Linked DNA regions of Macaca fascicularis. The protein of the gene in region 1 interacts with the protein of each later gene in a biochemical or structural test. Links are inferred from orthologs where the notes say so. Each region holds a gene or a part of one and is shown on either strand. Other genes may lie near its edges.

The links.
Region 2: the proteins of PFN1 (region 1) and ACTB form a complex in vitro, tested with the Homo sapiens proteins (2 studies listed by BioGRID and IntAct, with this or other methods). The link is inferred for Macaca fascicularis from reciprocal best matches to the Homo sapiens genes PFN1 and ACTB.
Region 3: the proteins of PFN1 (region 1) and WASL form a complex in vitro, tested with the Homo sapiens proteins (2 studies listed by BioGRID). The link is inferred for Macaca fascicularis from reciprocal best matches to the Homo sapiens genes PFN1 and WASL.

What each region holds. Positions count from the first base shown.
Region 1 is NC_088390.1:5,063,728-5,070,573, reverse strand, and holds PFN1 (profilin-1), read left to right. Parts: upstream 1-3,396; 5' UTR 3,397-3,559; coding exon 3,560-3,691; intron 3,692-5,091; coding exon 5,092-5,493; 3' UTR 5,494-5,508; downstream 5,509-6,846. Other genes in the region: ENO3 (beta-enolase), read right to left, coding at 26-112, 1,340-1,364. UniProt on the Homo sapiens protein: Binds to actin and affects the structure of the cytoskeleton. At high concentrations, profilin prevents the polymerization of actin, whereas it enhances it at low concentrations. By binding to PIP2, it inhibits the formation of IP3 and DG.
Region 2 is NC_088377.1:45,108,578-45,115,486, reverse strand, and holds ACTB (actin, cytoplasmic 1), read left to right. Parts: upstream 1-3,149; 5' UTR 3,150-3,227; intron 3,228-4,086; 5' UTR 4,087-4,092; coding exon 4,093-4,215; intron 4,216-4,349; coding exon 4,350-4,589; intron 4,590-5,033; coding exon 5,034-5,472; intron 5,473-5,566; coding exon 5,567-5,748; intron 5,749-5,864; coding exon 5,865-6,008; 3' UTR 6,009-6,594; downstream 6,595-6,909. UniProt on the Homo sapiens protein: Actin is a highly conserved protein that polymerizes to produce filaments that form cross-linked networks in the cytoplasm of cells.
Region 3 is NC_088377.1:165,390,396-165,397,245, forward strand, and holds the start of WASL (actin nucleation-promoting factor WASL), read right to left. Parts: upstream 3,804-6,850; 5' UTR 3,436-3,803; coding exon 3,319-3,435; intron 1-3,318. UniProt on the Homo sapiens protein: Regulates actin polymerization by stimulating the actin-nucleating activity of the Arp2/3 complex. Involved in various processes, such as mitosis and cytokinesis, via its role in the regulation of actin polymerization.

The DNA.
Region 1 (6,846 bases):
GCCTATCCAATGGGCCTTATGTTACCCTTGGCTGTGTGCAGGTCCACCTCCACTGTGGGGTTGCCCCTGGAGTCCAGGATTTCCCGGGCAAAGATTTTCTGCATGGCCATGGCTGCAGGACAGGAGGTGTGAGGGTAGACAGTTGATCTCTTAAGGAACCAGAAATCCCTTGCCCTTTAAGAGTCTTCCCCACTCCAAGAAGGCAGGTGCTGGAGCTAAAAATACCCTACAAAAAGGTCACAGACCAAAGAGGCAGGCGCAGCCCCCTCCCCCACTCAGAATAGCTCTTATTCCACCCTCCCATCCTAAGAATCCAGGGGCCTCTCATCTATGGCTCCTAGGATGCCATCACTCCCCAAGCCCCCACCTCCCCCAAGGCTGCACTTAGGCCTTCTCCTTCCACCCTCTGGTCAAGCAGTCTGTTCTCCACGGCTGGTGGCCTTCAAATCCTTTCTGGTTCTCATTTTCCTGCTCCGAAATCCTCTTGGGCCCCCAGTTCCCTACCAGGTTCCAACTCTAGCTGCCCTTCTCTATCCATCCTTACTGCCCCTCCTCACAGCCTCCTTTCCCTAGATCCTTGGGTGCTCCCAGAGTTTGTCCCATCTGCTTGCTCCAGCCGCCCCTTCCCCCAGCTTTTTCAAGCACCTCCAGTCCCAGGAGAAAAAAAAGCAGAAACGTCCCCCACTTCCTCCAACTCAACACCATGCGCACCCTTTACTACGTCCACCCCGGGGGCTGGAAGATTTAGCTGACCTGGGATGTCTTCGTTGGAGGTTTGGATGGAGCTCCGAGTCTAGGTGGCAGCTGGGACAGTGTCAGCTCACCCCCTCTCGGGCTGCGCATTTATCCCTGAGCCACTGGGTCCCCAGCCAGCCCCGCCTCTCTCTCTCTCCATCCTCCCCCCTTCACACTGGGCTGGCAGCCAAGTGCCCACTACAGCCTAAAGCAGAAGCCTCTGGCCCTGGGCACCTGCCCCCTTACCAAAGGTCAACTACTATCCCCCACTTTCTTTCCGTCCCCCAGTAACAGTCCCAGTTTTAATTCCCCTTTGGGAGGAGCGGGGGAGGGGCTTCAGATGAGGGGTCTCCCCCACCCCAGGATTACATTCCCCTTTTGCAAACGTCAAGAGGAATGTGTGACCTTTAGGAAAGGCCAGGGGTAACCTGAGCCCTGCAAGGCTGGGGAGGGGGCCTGGAAGAGGGGCTGCAGGATTGACATCCACACATGCTCAGATCGCTGGGCGGGCCTCTGCCCTCAGTGGGGGAAGGGAGGGGACTTCTGGGCAAGCTCTGACGTCTAAAATTGAACCCCCCCACCCCAGAAGGCGAGAGAGTCTCACCTCTTAGGGTCCTCATAACGGCCATTATCGGCGACGCCCCATCCTACCCTCTCCAGGCCAGCCAGGGTGGGGATGAATTAGGGGCCAGGAGACAAATTTAGACGGGCCCTCTCGGCTGGCGCGGCGCCCGATTGATAACGCTGGGACAGCACTTGTCGCCCGGCATGGGGACTATTGGTCAGAGCCCTTCTCCCCACCGACTGTGGGCGCTCAGCGCACGGCCCCAGCCCATCAATGAATGGGGTTGAATCAACAGTGAACAAAAATGAATGGACCGAGGACGGGTGGCCCTTTGTGAGCTTCTGCACGCCTGGGGCTCCTCCGGCGCCCCGCCGTAGCACTGCGGGGAGGTGGGTCTCTGCTCTCGGTAGAGATCTCCACCTTGCCAGCTCTGGGGCCAGTGCGGGGTCTGCCCCGAGCTCCTCTGCAGCCATGCCAGCCGAACGGCTGGGGTCACGGGGCTCGACTCGGAGGCCCTTCCCGCCGGCGCCGGGGCAGCCCGCGCCCGGTGACTCACCCCCGCCTCCCTCTCCCCACCCCTGCTCCCCGCCCCGCCGGCCAGCGCGGCCTCCCAGCCCCCACCTCAAGCCACCTGGCCCGCCACCCGTCCCGTCTCCCATCTTGCCCCGCCCTCTCATCTCAGGCCGCTCCTCCCGGGATTTTTCCACCCTGGGGTGGGGGTGCGGCGGGTCAGGGGTCAGGAGATGGCGGGCGGGGAGCGCCGCCACGTGCCCGGGTGCGGCCCCGCCCGAGCCCGCCAGTGACTCAGCCGCGCGGCTGTCGAGGAACACGGGCTCGAGGGGCGTCGGGGACTGTGGGGTTCGGCGTGGACGCCAGGGATGCGCGCCGCACTCGGGAGGAGGAGAGAGAAAACCAAGCCCCTTTCCGCCCGGGCCGCGCTCCGTGACCTCGCGCCCCTAACCCAGGCTCCGGAAGCGGCCCAGCCCTCGGCGGCGGGTCGGAGAAGACGGCTTCACCTCGGCCGCCACCCGGCCGCCCCGCCCTCCCCAGGTGGCGGCGAGCGCACATCTGACTGAGAAGAAACCCAAAGGGCCCGAAGTGGGACTTTCCCCTTCTTGAAAAAGTTGCCACTCTTGCAACTTGAGTATTCTTCCGCCTCGAAAAATAGCCCCGCCTGTTAAGCCCCGCGGGTGTCCGCGCTCAGTGACCTCTGCAGACTCAGGCCAAGGGGCACGGCCGGTGATCCAGACATTGCCTGCCCGGGGCGGGCGCGGCTGGGATATGGGATAAGGCCCTGGGCTAGAGCCGATCCAGAGAAGGGACAATCCTCTGGACTGAGAATGGGCCCTGGTGAACCTAACCTGCACTACCCGGGAAGACGCTGGGGACCGAAGTGGCCCCGGTGGGTGCCTTCAGCTATGAGAGCGACTAGGGTATTTGGCCAAACTCCCTTTGCTTTCCTATTGAATAAGTAAAATCAAGGGTGGTGAGGCGGCAGCGTGCACGGCTTCGCCCCCGCCCTTTCCGCCAGGCGGGAGACACGTCCCCAGCCCGCCTTCCTTTCCCGGAGGGTCCACAGGGGTCGGGTCGGGCGCGCTCCCGTGCAGCCGGCTCCGGCCCGGACCGCCCCATGCGCTCTCCCTCCCGGCCTTGGCGCAGGCGCAGGCGCGGGCACACGCGCCGCCGCCCGCCGGTCCTTCCCTTCGGCGGAGGTGGGGGAAGGAGGAGTCATCCCGTTTAACCCTGGACTCCCCGAACTCTCCTTAATTTGCTAAATTTGCGGCTTGCTAATTCTTCCTCCTTTCTCTTCCCTTCCTTCCTTCTGGCTCACTCCCTGCCCCGATAGCAAAGTCTGGTTTATATTCAATGCAAATTGGAGCAAACCCTACCCTTCACCTCTCTGCCGCCACCCCCCATCTTTCTACATTGCTTTCCATCGAACTCTGCAAATTTTGCAATAGGGGGAGGGATTTTTAAAATTGCATTTGCAAACTTCGGTGTCTGGGCTGGCGAGTGGGGGAGGGAGGGAATGGGGAGTAGGCCCCGCCCCTACCGTCCTTTGCAAATAAAAATCTAGCGGGGCGGGGGGGAGGAGCAGGAAGTGGCGGTGCGAGGGCTGCTGCACAGCGAGCAGAGCCGCGGTCCGGACGGCAGCGCGTGTCTCGAGCTCTCCGCCTCCCCCCGCCCGCCAGCCGAGGCAGCTCGTGCCCAGCCCGCGGCCCCAGCAGCAGCGCCGAGAGCAGCCCCAGTAGCAGCGCCATGGCCGGGTGGAACGCCTACATCGACAACCTCATGGCGGACGGGACCTGTCAGGACGCGGCCATCGTGGGTTACAAGGACTCGCCCTCCGTCTGGGCCGCCGTCCCCGGGAAAACCTTCGTCAACATCACGGTACTGCGAGGCCTGCGGTCCGGGGCACTGGTCGGGCTTGGACCCTGTGGGAGGGACTTGGGTGGGGGCGGGCGCGGTCTAGAGCGCGCAGCGAGAGGCCCTGACTGGGTGCTTGTCCTGGAAGCGGCGCGAATGGCGGCTGCACGTGAGCGGGTCCCTCGGTTGCTCCTAAGTCGTATGCCCCAGGCGGCGGCGCCCATCCCGCCCGCTACCCCGCTTTCCGCGACGGGGCGTTACATCCGGGGCACAGGGCGGGGAGGGGCGCGGCGCCCGGTGCGGCGGCCCACTTCCGCCTCTCCCAGGGCGGGGTGGGGACGCGCCTCAATTTTAATTGGGGATTGGGATTGAGAGGTGACCCGGGGACCCTCGAATCCCCAGCTCCCCGTCCGGCCGCCAGCTCGCGCCCCTCTACCATTGTTTCCCCTGGTGCGGGAGGGAGCCCCAGGCGCGTGGTATTGGTCCCTTGCCCACCCTCTGTGGACTCCCGGCCCCTCCCAACTCCGTTAGAGAGGGCGAGGCCACCACACGCCCCCCCAGCTCAGCACGTTGGACTCAACATTCCTGCGAGGCCAATCCCGGAAGTCCCCTCGCCCTCCCTTCCCGCCATCCGGCGGGGCCTGGAGCAGGGGAACTTTGTGAGAAGTTCTGAGACAGCATAAGCGAAAGAATATGAGTTGACTACCGCTGCTCCCACCACCATCTCCCTGTCCACACTGCCCGGAAGTGGGGAGGGGGAGCGGAAGTTCGAAAGGGGGGGAAGGGGGTTTCCGGGCGGGAGGGAACCGGATGTGGGGGCTTGGGGTGAAAGGGGGAGGGGGGAAAAGGTTCCTGGGGTACCTAGACCCGAGAGCTGACTTGCCGGGTCTAGCCCCCGTCCACCTTCAGAAGTTTTCCAACTTTCCCGGAAAGCCCCCAGGGGTCTGCTTCCTCTTGTCAGGGCAGACATACCTGGAGCTAAACTAGGTTACTTGGAGACCCAGGCGTCCGGGCCCTAAGAGCTCCTGCAGAACCTTTGACCAAATAAGGGCAAAGTTGCTTCTCTTGCCTCGCCCGCCCCCCTCCCTTCCCCTCTCCGCTTCTGCTTTTCCTGAAGGAGAGTTCTGAGCATCCAAAGACTCCTCACTTTTATCACTGATTCCCTTTATTTCCTGGGTTTACTTTCCCCCATTAACACTGAGATCTAAATCTCTAGAGGAGTATATCATCTCTTCCTCCCTAGTCCCATATTCTAGGTTTGAGAATCATGATCGTTTTCTGCACTAACGTTCCACAGTCCTCAGAGTTTCTCACAGTTTATTGATGGGTACTGAGTATATAACTTCGCGGGGTGGGTCTTTGGAGAACAAGGTGGGAATCTTGGTGCACTGACTAACTTGATGGGCGCTTGGTTCCTCTTCCAGCCAGCTGAGGTGGGTGTCCTGGTTGGCAAAGACCGGTCAAGTTTTTACGTCAATGGGCTGACACTTGGGGGCCAGAAATGTTCGGTGATCCGGGACTCACTGCTGCAGGATGGGGAGTTTAGCATGGATCTTCGTACCAAGAGCACCGGTGGGGCCCCCACCTTCAATGTCACTGTCACCAAGACTGACAAGAGTGAGTTCCTGAGTCTTACCATTCCTCTAGCGTCAAGATCTCTCATGTACCGCCTTCTGGTAATCTTGAGGGTGCTTTCTTGTGTGATTCCCCAGCATGAAGGCAGTCAGACCAGTATTCTGCCCCTTGTCTGCTGGATGCTGGATGGAACATGGGATAGTCCCTCCATTTCCGTCTCAGTTCCTCATCTTGTAATTCGAAGTTGTTGAACTGCATTACCTCTTAAGTTACTTCCTGCCTTGAGCTCGGATTAGAAACTGTTTTCTAGGAGTATAGGTAGATTCTTGGGGTCCTGAATCATCATCTAGTTAATCGTTTGAGCTCTTTTGTTAGAACCTGGAGGTGGCATGCTCATCCACAGCCCTTTCTAGCCTGAACACGAGTCAACAGTCTATGAGCCTTTGACCCCTAAGTTTTTAGTCTGTTCCTCTCCAGCATTTAAGCTTGATTTTCCTCTTTTGAAAAGCCTTATTGTTTCAGGGTGACTGACAGCCTGCCTGTGTGTGTGTGTTGGGGGGGGTTGGGAGAGATGAGGTTGGGTTACAGCCCCCAGGGCTGGACAGCTGCTGAACAGCTGGCAGGGGGTGGAATTGTGACACCTGGGTCCTAGCCTCCTTTCTCTTTCCTCCTCCAGCGCTAGTCCTGCTGATGGGCAAAGAAGGTGTCCACGGTGGTTTGATCAACAAGAAATGTTATGAAATGGCCTCCCACCTTCGGCGCTCCCAGTACTGACCTCGTCTGTCCCTTCCCCTTCACCGCTCCCCACAGCTTTGCACCCCTTTCCTCCCCCATACACACATACACCATTTTATTTTTTAGGCCATTACCCCATACCCCTTATTGCTGCCAAAACCACATGGGCTGGGGACCAGGGCTGGATGGACAGACAACTCCCCCTACCCATACCCCTCCTGTGTGTGGTTGGAAAACTTTTTTGTTTTTTGGGTTTTTTTTTTTTTTTTCTGAATAAAAAAGATTCTAACAAGGTGCTGTGTGATTTGAGCTTGGGTGTCAGAATGGGGGACAGGCACTGTGACTTGCCTCCTTTATCATGGCTTGGGAGCAGGAAGGTTGAGGTACTACAAGGTGCAAGAATTTGAGCTTCTGGCCAGGTGGCCCTGCCCCTCCACAGTGGCATTTCCAGGCCTAAGTCCTCAGTGTGCTGGTTAAATTGGTGGATAATGGAATAGAGCCATCTGGACCAGAGAATGGGTGCAGGCCTGCAGGCAAGGCAGGGCTAGTTGAGTCATCCTTGTGGGTGGGGCTCCCCCTGAGTCATAGCAAATGCCTGCTGGGGCTGTCCCCATGACTATAGGTTAGTGTCTCAGCATTCTCTTGCTCCTTATGGCTAAAGGGGTGATTCCCCCAAAGGGTTAAGTTCACCTAAAAATTATCTCACCCTTCCTTAGTCCACAAAAAACAATTTTATTAGCCCAAGAAGTGAAGACCCAGTCCCTTTGCTTGCCCCAGCCCCACCCCAATGCCCCTCAAAAGGATAGGTGTGGGTAAGGGAGCAACTTAGGATGGAATGTCCCCTATCCCTCAACTTAGAAGACTGGAGG
Region 2 (6,909 bases), on another chromosome or scaffold:
TCAAGTCTAGGATGGAAGCTTTGTCTCAGTTCCTTCCTCTAAAAAATGGAGCTTGAGGAGGGCATGGTGGCTCATGCCTGTAATCCCAGGACTTTGGGAGGCTGAGGTGGGAGGATCACTTGAGTCCCCAGGAGCTGGAGACCAGCCCGGGCAACATGGTGAGAAGCGCGAACTCTACAGATAATTTAAAAATTAGCCAGGCACGGAAGTGTGTGCCTACAGTCCTAGCTACTTGTGAGGGCTTTGAGCCCAGGAGGTCGAGGCTGCAGTGAGCTGTGACCACACTCCAGCCTGGGCATCAGAGCAAGACCTGGTATCAAAAAAAAAAAAAAAAAAAAAAAGTAATAAAAAGGAGGCTGGATTCCCTCTTGGCAGGGTAGGGAGGGGGCTTCAGTGCCCAGGGCAAGGTGGCTGGGCGGTGGTTTTGCGGGAGGGCCAAGGAGGGGTCCCTGGGTCTGGGCTGTAAGAGTCGGTTGCCTGGAGGCCTTGCAGGGTGGGGGCGTCAACAAAGCAAAGGCTTGGAGGGGAAAAAACAAAAGCCCCAGCCAGGCAGGTGGAGTCCCCTTGGCTGAGTTCAACCGAGGGTTCTCTGGGGAATGCGTGCATACCCAAGTGACAGCTCCGAAAACTCCCTTCCAGGGCAAAGTTCCCAAGCGCAGAAGAGAACCTATTCACTTCTCCCCTGCTCAGCCCGCCCCCTGGCCAGCCAGTTCTACTTCCTCTTTTCCTGCTCCGCTGCTTGCTTTCTCTCTTCAGCTCCTCCCTGCCCCTCACCCCAGGCTGCTTGGCCACCTCCAACCTGCCATCTGAGGACATCCAGGCAGTCACTCATTCAACAGCGAGGAGCCCTGGGGTGGGTGTGGTGGGAAGGAGTGGGGGTGATGGAGACCCTGGGAGGGCTCGCAGCCTGGTGGGTGAGGCCCAGTTCTAAATGCCAGCTGCAAGCCTTGGTCTGAGGTAGGGAGGAAGGCATGGTTGCAGAGGCTAAAAGGTTTCCCTAAAGACGGACTTTCTGGGATGGGACTTGAAGGGTGCATAGGAGAGCACCAAGAAGTGGCCGCTGCAGACAGAGGGAACCACAAGCCAGGAGGACAGGCCAGGAAGGCTGCAGCCTGGGGTGGGGTGGGGCTGGAGCTTCTGTCTCTTGGCCAGCTGAGTAGAGGCCCAGTGGCAGCACAGGTCCTGCCTGGGGATCAGGTCTGCTCTGCACCCTACCTTGTTGCCTGGAGCCGCCCACCCAACAGCCTCCCATCCTTGCTCTGCAGATCCGGTCCCATCCCCACCTCCCACAGCACTCCACCCAGTTCAACCTTTGAGGAACCCCCAGAACCAGCCCTCATCAACAGGCAGCAAAAAGGTCCCCCCCGCCCATCGCCCCACAACGCCGGCCCGGTGAACTGTAGGGTTGGCAGGTCCTTAGGCAGGTGGCAAGACGCCTGCAGCTGAAAGATACAAGGCCAGGCACAGGACAGTCCCATCCCCAGGAGGCAGGGAGTATACAGGCTGGGAAAGTTTGCCCTTGCGTGGGGTGGTGATGGAGGAGGCCTAGCAAGCCTTCTGGACTGTGAACCTGTGTCTGCCACTGTGTGCTGGGTGGTGGTCATCTTTCCCACCAGGCTGTGGCCTCTGCAACCTTCGAGGGAGGAGTGGGTCCCACTGACTGAGCACAGCCTTGTACCGTGAACTGGAACAAGGCCACAGGTTCCACGTCCTTATATGGACTCATCTTTGCCTGTTGCAACACACACTCAACGAACACCTACTACGTGCTGCAAAGCCCCCTGAAGGCCTGACATGCCCCCACCTCACCACCCTTCCTATTTTTGTGTAAAAATCCAGCTTCTTGTCACCACCTCCAAGGAGGGGGAGGAGAAGGGCATGTTCCTCTAGGTTGAGCTGAATGCCCCTCTGTGGTCCCACGCCACTGATCACTGCATGTCCACCAGCTGGGTACATACAGTCTCTGATTCCCAGAGCAGAACGACCCTAGCCACCCGGGTCTTGTGTGCTACTGAGTGGACAGACCCGAGGCAAGAAAGGGTGACAAGGAGAGGGTCTTCCCAGGCTGGCTTTGAGCTCCTACCCCACCCCGCCCCCAATCCTCTCTGGCACATGGTGTCTTGGTCCCCAGAGTCCCCCCGCGGCCTCCAGATGGTCTGGGAGGGCAGTTCAGCTGTGGCTGCGCATAGCAGACATGCAATGAACGGTGGGCGCAGACCCAGGCTGTGTAGACCCAGCCCCCACACCCCGCAGTGCCTGGAGCTGCCTGGGTCACCCACTAACGCCCCAGGCCTGGTCTTGGCTGGGCGTGACCGCGTTACCCTCAGAAGCAGCAGCTCCTGGGGAAACTTTCCCTGCCCCGTAGAGCCCACCTTCCCAGGGCCGTGGCTGGGTGGGTTTGCAGCTTTCATCACAGGCCACCTCAAGCCACTGGACCGCTGGCGCCTGCCCTGTCCTGGGCAGTGTGGTCCTGCGACTTCTAAGTGGCCGCGAGCCCCCTGACTCCCCCAACACCACACTCTACCTCTCAAGCCCAAGTCTCTCCCTAGTGACCCACCCAGCCCATTTAGCTAGCTGAGCCCCATAATAGCCAGAGGTCCCGAGACCTGCTTTCAGGGCAGTTGCTCTGAAGTCGGCAAGGGGGAGTGACTGCCTGGCCACTCCATGCCCTTCAAGGGCTCCTTCTGCAGGAGCGCACAGCACCCAGGACCCTGGCACCCGTGCAGACCCTGGCCCACCCCACCTGGGCGCTCAGTGCCCAAGAGACGTCCACACCTAGAATGTCCCGCGGTGGGTGGGGGGCCCGAGAGACGGGCAGGCCGGGGACAGGCCTGGCCATGCGGGGCCGAACCGGGCACTGCCCAGCGTGGGGTGCGGGGGCCACCGCGCGCGCCCCCAACCCCCGGGCCCAGCACCCCAAGGCGGCCAACGCCAAAACTCTCCCTCCTCCTCTTCCTCAATCTCGCTCTCGCTCTTTTTTTTTTTTCGCAAAAGGAGGGGAGAGGGGGTAAAAAAATGCTGCACTGTGCGGCGAGGCCGGTGAGTGAGCGGCGCGGGGCCAATCAGCGCGCGCCGTTCCGAAAGTTGCCTTTTATGGCTCGAGCGGCCGCGGCGGCGCCCTATAAAACCCGGCGGCGCGACGCGCCTCCACCGCCGAGACCGCGTCCGCCCCGCGAGCACAGAGCCTCGCCTTTGCCGCTCCGCCGCCCGTTCACACCCGCCGCCAGGTAAGCCCGGCCAGCCGACCCTGGTAGGCGGCTCCCGGCTCGGCTGCCTAAGGCCGCGGCCCCTTCGCCTGTGTAGAGCCGCCTGCGCCGCAGCGGGGGTCGCATGTGGGGACTGGACTGCAGTGGGGGACGCGGGAGAAGCCCCTGGGCCTCCAGAGATGTGGGGACACCCCGCTCCAGTTTGGAGGCGCGGGCCCTGCTCGGGAGGCGCGCTCTGGGGGTGCTGCTCTCGGGATGGGGGCAGCCGGCGGGGTCTTTGTCCGAGCCGGCTTCTTGCCAGTGGGAACTGCAGGGTGGGCGCGGCGGAGCCCCCCCGCCAGGCTCGGTGGGGGGCTGGGGCGCCATTGCGCGTGCGTCCTGGGGCTTGGGGCGCTAACTCTGCGTGCGCGCTGGGAATCGGCGCTAGTTGCGCGTGCGCGCTGGGACTCAAGGCGCTAACTGCGCGTGCGTTCTGGGGCCCGGGTGCCGCGGCCTGGGCTGGGGCAAGGGCTGGCCCCGCCGGAAGGGGTGGGGTCGCGGAGGCTCCAGGGCGCTTGCGCGCACTTCCTGCCCGCGCCGCCGGCCGCCTGAGGGTGTGGCCGCCGCGCGCGCGCGCGCGCCGACCCGGCGCTATTTGAACGGAGCGGAGGCGGGGCCGGCTCCCGGTTGGGAGGGGGTGGGGGCCTGGCTTCCTGCCGCGCGCGGTGGGGACGCCTCCGACCAGTGTTTGCCTTTTATGGTAATAACGCGGCCGGCCCGGCTTCCTTTGTCCCCAATCTGGGCGCGCGCCTGCGCCCCCTGGCGGCCTAAGGCCTCGGCGCGCCGGAAGTGGGCAGGGCGGGGGCCACCTCGGCTCACAGCGCGCCCGGCTTTCCCGCAGCTCGCCATGGATGATGATATCGCCGCGCTCGTTGTCGACAATGGCTCCGGCATGTGCAAGGCCGGCTTCGCGGGCGACGATGCCCCCCGGGCCGTCTTCCCCTCCATCGTGGGGCGCCCCAGGCACCAGGTAGGGGAGCTGGGTGGGTGGGGCGGCCCCGGGAGCGGGCGGGAGGCGAGGGCGCTTTCTCTGCACTGGGGTCTCCCGGTTTCTGGGGTGGGGGCCGCGCCCGTGCTTAGGGCGCCTTGTTTTTTCTTTCCTAGGGCGTGATGGTGGGCATGGGTCAGAAGGATTCATATGTGGGCGACGAGGCCCAGAGCAAGAGAGGCATTCTCACCCTGAAGTACCCCATCGAGCACGGCATCGTCACCAACTGGGACGACATGGAGAAGATCTGGCACCACACCTTCTACAATGAGCTGCGTGTGGCTCCTGAGGAGCACCCCGTGCTGCTGACCGAGGCCCCCCTGAACCCCAAGGCCAACCGCGAGAAGATGACCCAGGTAAGTGGCCCGCTACCTCTTGTGGTGGCCACCGCCCTCTTTCCTGGTCTCCCGGAGCTGCGCCCTTTCTCACTGGTTCTCTCTTCTGCCGTTCTCCGTAGGACTCTCTTCTCTGACCTGAGTCTCCTTTGGAACTCTGCAGGTTCTATTTGCTTTTTCCCAGATGAGCTCTTTTTCTGGTGTTTGCCTCTCTGACTAGGTGTCTAAAACAGACAGTGCTGTGGGTGTAGGTACTAACACTGGCTCGTGTGACAAGCCCATGAGGCTGGTGTAAAGCGGCCTTGGAGTGTGTATTCAGTAGGTGCACAGTAGGTCTGAACAGAATCCCCATCCCAAGACCCCAGCACACTTAGCAGTGTTCTTTGCACTTCCTGCATGTCCCCCATCTGGCCTGGCTGTCCCAGTAGCTTCCTGAGTATGACATGGTGCATTTCTTCCTTACAGATCATGTTTGAGACCTTCAACACCCCAGCCATGTACGTGGCCATCCAGGCTGTGCTGTCCCTGTACGCCTCTGGCCGTACCACTGGCATCGTGATGGACTCCGGTGACGGGGTCACCCACACTGTGCCCATCTACGAGGGGTATGCCCTCCCCCATGCCATCCTGCGTCTGGACCTGGCTGGCCGGGACCTGACTGACTACCTCATGAAGATCCTCACTGAGCGCGGCTACAGCTTCACCACCACGGCCGAGCGGGAAATCGTGCGTGACATTAAGGAGAAGCTGTGCTATGTCGCCCTAGACTTCGAGCAGGAGATGGCCACAGCGGCTTCCAGCTCCTCCCTGGAGAAGAGCTACGAGCTGCCCGATGGCCAGGTCATCACCATTGGCAACGAGCGGTTCCGCTGCCCTGAGGCTCTCTTCCAACCTTCCTTCCTGGGTGAGTGGAGACCCGCCTCCCGGCCCTGCCTGACCTGAGGGTCACCCTTGGGGCTGTGCTTTGGAAGCTAAGTCCGCCCTCATTTCTTCCTCAGGCATGGAGTCCTGTGGCATCCACGAAACTACCTTCAACTCCATCATGAAGTGTGACGTGGACATCCGTAAAGACCTGTACGCCAACACAGTGCTGTCTGGTGGCACCACCATGTACCCTGGCATTGCTGACAGGATGCAGAAGGAGATTACTGCCCTGGCGCCCAGCACGATGAAGATCAAGGTGGGTGTCCTTCCACCCTGAGCTGACCTGGGCAGGTGGGCCGTGGGGCCCTGTGGTGTGTGGGGAGCTGTCACATCCGGGGTTCTCACTGCCTGTTTGTTCCCTTCCTTCCTCAGATCATTGCTCCTCCTGAGCGCAAGTACTCTGTGTGGATCGGCGGCTCCATCCTGGCCTCGCTGTCCACCTTCCAGCAGATGTGGATCAGCAAGCAGGAGTATGACGAGTCTGGCCCTTCCATCGTCCACCGCAAATGCTTCTAGGCGGACTGTGACTTAGTTGCGTTACACCCTTTCTTGACAAAACCTAACTTGCGCAGAAAACAAGATGAGATTGGCATGGCTTTATTTGTTTTTTTTGTTTTGTTTTGGTTTTTTTTTTTGGCTTGACTCAGGATTTAAAAACTGGAACGGTGAAGGTGACAGCAGTCGGTTGGAGCGAGCATCCCCCAAAGTTCTACAATGTGGCCGAGGACTTTGATTGTACATTGTTCTTTTTTTTAATAGTCATTCCAAATATGAGATGCATTGTTACAGGAAGTCCCTTGCCCTCCTAAAAGCCACCCCACTTCTCTCTAAGGAGAATGGCCCAGTCCTCTCCCGAGTCCACACAGGGGAGGTGATAGCATTGCTTTCGTGTAAATTATGTAATGCAAAATTTTTTTAATCTTCGCCTTAATACTTTTTTATTTTGTTTTATTTTGAATAATGAGCCTTCATGCCCCCTCTTTTTGTCCCCCAACTTGAGATGTCTGAAGGCTTTTGGTCTCCCTGGGAGTGGGTGGAGGCAGCCAGGGCTTACCTGTACACTGACTTGAGACCAGTTGAATAAAAGTGCACACCTTACAAATGAGGCCAAGAGTGACTTTGTGGCGTGACTGGGTTGTGGGCAGTGGAGGGTGATCCCTGAAGGGTGGGGTGGTGGGGGCCAACTTGTCCTTACCTAGAGTGGAGGTGGGCCAAGGTCCCTTCCGCCTTGACATTGAGCAGCCTTAGAGGGTGGGGGAAGATTCAGGATTCAGGTCTCTGTTTCTGCATACTGGGGAGTTCCTGGCCTGGCCCTTCCACCCATTCCCAGGTACCCTAGTTTCTCTGGTACTCAGTGCATATGCTTGAGGTGGAAATGGTTTGAGGTGGAAAACGCTTGAGGAAAATGCTTGAGGTG
Region 3 (6,850 bases), on another chromosome or scaffold:
ACAATCCTCAATCCACGTTCTATACTGCCTCCACCTTTCCCCTGAAAATTTTCTAAGTCAAATATGATCTTGTGAGTCCCCCTTAAAGAGTGCAATACTTCCTCAACTGTATCTCCTTCTTAGTTGTGAAATGTACACTGATATCTTAAGCGGTCAGAGAAATGCTGTACTAAAAGAATTTGATTTAACTTAATTGAGCTTCAATTTGCAAAATATAGACCAAAAACTGAAGAAAAATCTATTAAGATTTCCAATGTGCTCAAGGATTATCCTATCAGACGTGGTCTTCAGCAGTGGTTTTCAAACTGTGATATACTTTAAAATCTTCTGTTAAGTTTGTTAAAAATAGACATGTCCAAGCTTCACCTCATATCCAGTGATTCTGAATATTATCTAGGAATTGGGTCTAGGCATATGCATTTCTCATAATCTCCACAATGATTCCAATGCATACCTAAATCTGAGAGCCCAAGCAGAAGCCCTCCTTGCTCCCTAAGAAATCTAATAAACTTATTAGTAGGTCTCCTAACTTTTCAAGTTGTTTCATACCTCTCATCAGCCTAGGGAGCACCTGTTTAGATATAAATATTCAGTTATCCATTTTAACAAGCTTTTACTCAACCTCTCTCCCCCCATTCTCTCCTTTAATCCCCTAAACCTGTATAAAAATAGTTTCCATATATTTACACACAGTCTTAATCCACACAACTACCCATGAGATAGTATCTTTGTTTTACACATGAGAAAACCAAATCTAGGATAGGAAGCTTAAGAAACTTACCCAAAGTGACCCCCAGTTTGAACCCATATTTGCTATTACAAAGCCAAGACATTTTCTATTGTGAAAAGTAGCCTCTTACACATCACTCTGAAGCACTGACTTATTTATCAGTTTACACGTTTCCCTTTTTAGACCTAGTAAGCTCCCTGAGGACAAGTTTCAGCCCTTCTAGATTTTGACCTCAACATTTAATCAATGCATGTTTGTTGAATGAAAGAAGATATGAAGCTCCTTCAGAGCTAAGACTGTAACTGCTTCTGTTTCATTTCTTGAATTCTTAAATAGAGCTCTGAGTACTCTTCTGCCTAACACATTTGGTCTGACCTGTAAATCTTACTGCTGGATTTATTATGAGACAATGTATTTCGGTAATGTTTTAAAAGACAAAAAAAACCCTGCATAATCAGCAAAGGGAGAAAAAGATTATTTCAAAAATTAAAATATCACTCTTAACTCTCTATTAACTAGGGACTTCAATTTTTGAAATTAGTGTATGCAACGACTTATCCCACAGAAGCAGGCAACTGACACAGTGTGGTTTTTAAATGACAGAAATGCAAAAGGTAAAGTTAATTAATAAAAGATGGCGTAAAGAAATTAAGCACTGAATACTGACAGCCTATTCAGCAATCCACTTACACTAACCAACGTGCAACATCATTTTTCCCTATCACAGTATTTTTCCCCATCTGCCATTTTTTGAAACCAGTAAAACTATAGGTAAGCACAGGACAATTACTATACTTGTGTATAAATGTAATGTTCTTTCTGCGTAAAGTTAATGTGTGTGGTATGTAGAACACAGTATGACTACTTCCTTTTTGATACAGGTTACACAGCTAATCTACTAAACCAACAACTGAATTTTTTTTTCATTGGAGGTAACTAACATTCAAAGTGCTGGAGATTTTCCTAAACTGAACATATGCAAACATTAGTGGTGCTTTAAGAATCTTGTATTTTAATTAGTTTTTGGTGAAAAAGGCAAAGTGGTTATTCCTTTAACACCACTTTTGGAAATAAATCGGTAACAAGAAAAAAAAAAAACACCCTTCTAAAACAACATGATGTAGTGGAAAGTACCAAGGGATAGGACGAGGCATGAGGAGTCCCGGTTTTCTGGTTCTGGTTACATCGTTAAACTGTTGTATGACTTGGGCTCACTGGATCAGTTTTCTCATTTGTTGAAAAAAGTGTGTGAATGGGGAGGGGCTTAAAGTTGTTACCCAAAATTCTCGTTTTGAGCCACTCCTCTCGTTTCATCCTTCTAATCACGAAACTCAATGTTCTCTAAGGTCTAAGTTCCGAAATTTGAAACACATCTGAAATTGAATGGAACGATTCAATCTCCAACCGGATGGCACAAGATACAAAGGGTGGACTCCTACGACGTTAACAATTAATCCAAGAACTTTCCAGAAATTGTCTAACCCTAACTTCGTAAAGAAGCAGGTGAAATCTGGTTTGGCATACCTAACATTAAAGGAGTTATAAAATGGTATTGCTCTGTTGAAATTTCCGTGTTTTCTGGATTCCAGTGGCACATACTCTGCAGGTGCTAGCAAACAAAGTGGAGAGAAAGAGACCCAGCCAGGATTTCAACAAACCACACTTCAACCCAGCACCGCAGCATGATTCCGACAAGGCCTATACCACAGAGCAGAACCTCCCCACCCCCAGAAGTGCCAGCAGCCAATGTAACGAATGCTTCCGTCAACAACACACATTCCCCTTCCCACAGCAGAACTGCTCGCTCCCAACCGGCCATCTGGGGTTGGAATTGGCCGCACAGCACCAAACTAAGAATCATTCTCGGCCCCAAAAACCAAGAACTACCAGAGATTGAGGTTTCCCTGCGCATGGCTGCGGGGAGAGCAGCACCCCCTCCCACCAATGGGGGAAAAAATCAGTGGGAAGGAAAGTAGAAACCAGGCCTAGACAAGGTTGCTGGAGAAATCAATCTTGTTTCTCTTTAACGAAGAGCAGTAACATTTTTTTTTATCCTCTCTAATCTGAAGAGAGCCCAGGCTCTTGCACTCGACTTCATTCCCTCCTGGAATCCTAATGGGAGAGTGAAAACCACCTTCCTTCCCCGACCTATCCACTCCTCAAACCTGGCATTGTTAAGGAAGGTACCCCCAGATCCAGCAGGAGGAGGTGACGCGAGAGCTAGAGCAAGGGCCCAGATTCTGGGACCAAGCGACTCTTACAAGAAAATCCCCTTGCGGCCTGAGAGTAAAGTTTTAACCAGCAGCCAGGGCGCGGACCGAGGCCCGGCCAGGCTGGAGGACAGGCCTGCGGAGGTGACACTCCCTTGTTCCCCAAAGCTCGGGGAGGCGGCGCCCGACCGCCACAGCCCGCACCCAGGGAGCAGGGCGAGGGCGCCGACGAGGGGCCGGGGCTGGCGGGAGGCCTGGCCGACAAGCGGGACCCTCCCCGCGCCGCTCCCGCCTCCTTCCCCACTCCCACTTCCCGGACCCCAAGTCCGGGCCCGTGAGGTAATGTCAGGGGTGGCGACGCGGTTCTTATCCACTGACCACACATTTCTTGCCGAGGAAAGTGAAGAGGGACTCGTTCTCCTGCGGGGTGAGCAGCAGGGACCCCACGTTGGTGACCCTCCGCGGCGGCGGCGGCTGCTGCTGGACGGAGCTCATGGTTTCGCCGGCAGGGTTGGGAGTCCAGGGCCGTCTCCTCCCGCGAGTGGGCGAGAGCTCGTTACCCCTCTCGGTGACAGGGGCGGGGAGAAGCGGAGTCAGAGGCGCCACATCTCGCAGCTCCTCCGGAGCGCGGAGGAGGAGGAGGTCGAGGGACGCAGGCGCCGACGGCGAACCACCTTCGGGCCGCGCTGAGAAAGGGAAGCTCCCAGCTCCCGCCCGGCCAGGATAGGGCCGGATGGTCGTTGTCCTCGCACTCCAGCGACTGCGCTAAACTCCCAACTCCTCCCCCAACCCTCCCGCAGCGGCGGCGGCGGCGGCGGCCGCACAATCCAACATGGCAGCGGGGACGGGCGAGACCACAGGACGGAGGGCGCGGGGGAGCGCACCGGAAACGCGCGGCCGGGGCCCGGGAGGAACCCCCCCCCACTCGGCGGCGGGCCTCGCCGCGCCGGCCCGAAGCCACGCCCCCTTCCGGCCGAGGCGCGGACCGCGCGGAGCTAAGTGGAATTCCGGTCGGCTCGGGGCGCAGGCTTTCAACTTCGTCCTCTGGCTTCTGGCGTCTCGGCTCGTCGGTTGGGTACCCAGAACCAGCTACTGCTGCTTGAAGAGAAGATGGGTAGGGAGACTCCTCGCCGTCGCTGCGCCGCCGGCCTTCCTTGGGCGGACGCACACCTTTGCGAAGCGTCAGTGAGGACCCAGGGCCTGTCCTTGAAATAGCGCTCATTTCTCAGGCGCGGCAGCGTGACGCTCGCTCTGCGGGTTCGAGAGGCCTGCGATCTGAAGACTGAAAACTGGGGAAGAGGTGCTTTCCCCTATGCTCCTCGCGGGCTTCACTAGGAGCCGCAGGTGCCTGGGATTTTCTCAAACTTTGTCCAAACTTTAACTGTGGGAGTGGAGGAACAAACAGGCCTCTCCCAGAATTGTGAAAGAGATCGCCCTGATGGATGTAACAAAAACAAATGCACTTGACTTCCACCGCCTCCCTGGCGTGTCACGTGGGCTTAATGTATGTGTCATATTTAAATTCAAAGTATTTTCTTTTAAGGGCCCTGGACACATTTTTTTCCCCCTGTATCGTGAATTGGAAAATAGCCCAGGATATTAAAAGTTATCTAAGATAACCCCCTTTGTTCTGTAAGTACTAAACGGCTTAAAATGAAATTTTGGAATCTAGAGACAATGATGCAGACTGCAGTGAGCTATCAAATATGCATGTCACTGTTCACATTAAACATTTTTGTTGCATAAATTCATGTCTGGTAATTGCTTAATTCCAATAAACAAAGAAGTTATATGTTAAACAAGACATCTATAACAGTTACACTTTGGTGAAACTGTTGGATGTTAACATCTCTGATAGCGCCAATAGAAATCTCTGATGTACTAACCAGACTGATAAACCATTATCATGCACTTTGAAAATAATTATAAAGTATTAAAATTAAAGCTGTCCTTAATGAAATAGGCTGAGCAACAATAAATTTACAAAGGAAAATAAGATTGGATAGCCTTGGGAGGTCTCACATAAAATATGGAGATTTCAAAGTTAAACTTGATTAATAATGTTAGGGTAAAAAGTGAATTAAAGCAACAGGACTATTTATAACATAATTAGATTTAGAAAGCATTAGTAGAAATGGAAGCCTGGAGTTGCTTCTGAATTACAGATCTAACAAAGCTAGAAGCTAAATCAGTTTGTCTTTTATCAAAACTGCAACCCCTGTAAGTTGAAAGCACAGTGACAAGAGAAAGCATTACAAATTCTTGAGAAATAGTAGAAATTAAAGCTCTTCTTTTCAAACCTGTGAGCAAGTATAGTGCCAGAAGTTTAAGATTCAGATAGACCCAAGTTGTAGTTCTTGTTATGAATCTTATAACCCAGTGGACTTTGGACAGATTACTTCTCTGCGTCTCAGTTTCCTCATCTGTAAAATGAAAATAATTTCTGTTTCATACAAGTATAGTCTAAATAGGGATAATTACACCTACTTCGAAGTTGTAAAATACAAAATTACAACTAGATAGGAGGTGTAAGCTCTAGTGTTCTGTAGCACTGTAGGATGACTGTAGTTAACAATACTATATAGTTTCAAATAGCTGGAAGGATATTGCATGTTCCCAAAACAAAGACATAATGTTTCTGAGATGATAGATATGCTAATTACCCTGATCTAATCACTATACGTTATATGTATTGCAACATCACTGTGTACCCCCATAAATATGTGCAGTTATTGTCTATTAAAATTTTTTTAAACTAAAATTATAAGACATTAAAAAAAGATATCACATGTAAAGTACCTGATACATAATGATTACTCAAGTATTAGTTGTCGGCCACTGACAGTCCTTGCCTATGGTCTGTTCTGCTTTCCCTGAGCTAAGGGATCAAGACTTAATATATGTATTCTTACCTTTGTTTTAAGTCTGACTCTTCAAAAACTGTACTTCAAATTTACAATTGTACATAATTTTTAAAAAATATAGTGAAGAACTTGATAGCAGAATTTCTGATTAGGCCATATATTATGCCAAATAAGTTACAGATATCCCAGTATGCCAAAATAAAACTTTTTAAAACTGTAAATCCAGAGATAGAATCCTATTAGCTTCTAATTAATAAAAACTGAAAGATTAGCAAATTTTATGTTAGAAATACCAGCTTTTAGAACTTGTAGACCACCAAACTATTTTGAAGACAGGAAAGAGTAGTGAGAGAGGGCTGTGGGGGAAAAAAAAAAGGTCATGTGATGATAGGTGAATGGACAGTAGCTGCCTTGAAGAATCTATCTCATTCTGAGAATCACTGAGTTCCAATCATTTCACAACCTCTTACTAGCCTAGACTATCTATTGTTTTATTGATTTTCTTTTCTTTCAGGAAATTTTATGACTTATCTAAATGCAATTTTTCTTTTACTATTTGACCTTGTTCTGTTTTCTTTAGACTTGGAGATGGAAAATTATGACCACAGTAGACTTTTTTCCTCAGGTCCAACCTTTCTTTAATTTTCTCAGAATTTTTAATATAATCCTTTGTCCACAAAATTGCAATTTAAGTTCTTGTCTTCTACCCTCTATTGTTATTTTTGTTTTTCTCTGGGCTTTTTCCAGCTCTTGATGTGGAAAATGTAAGCATGAACATTTCACTGGAAATATGACTTCCTTACTCATTTAAGCCTGTGAACAAGCAGTATTTGGGGATTCCCCCCTTACCATACATAAAGGATTCTATTTTTCCATACTCATCCTGAAACCAAGCAGTACTAGCTGTTTTTGTTTCAAAGTTTTAGCAAGTCCTTTCTTTCATTTTTGATAGCATATCCGCTGTTTGGCAGAACACAAGACATCTTTTCTGTCTGTTTTCTTTGGCAAGTTATTTCCTTATCTCAAATTCTTTTTACCCAGTTTGA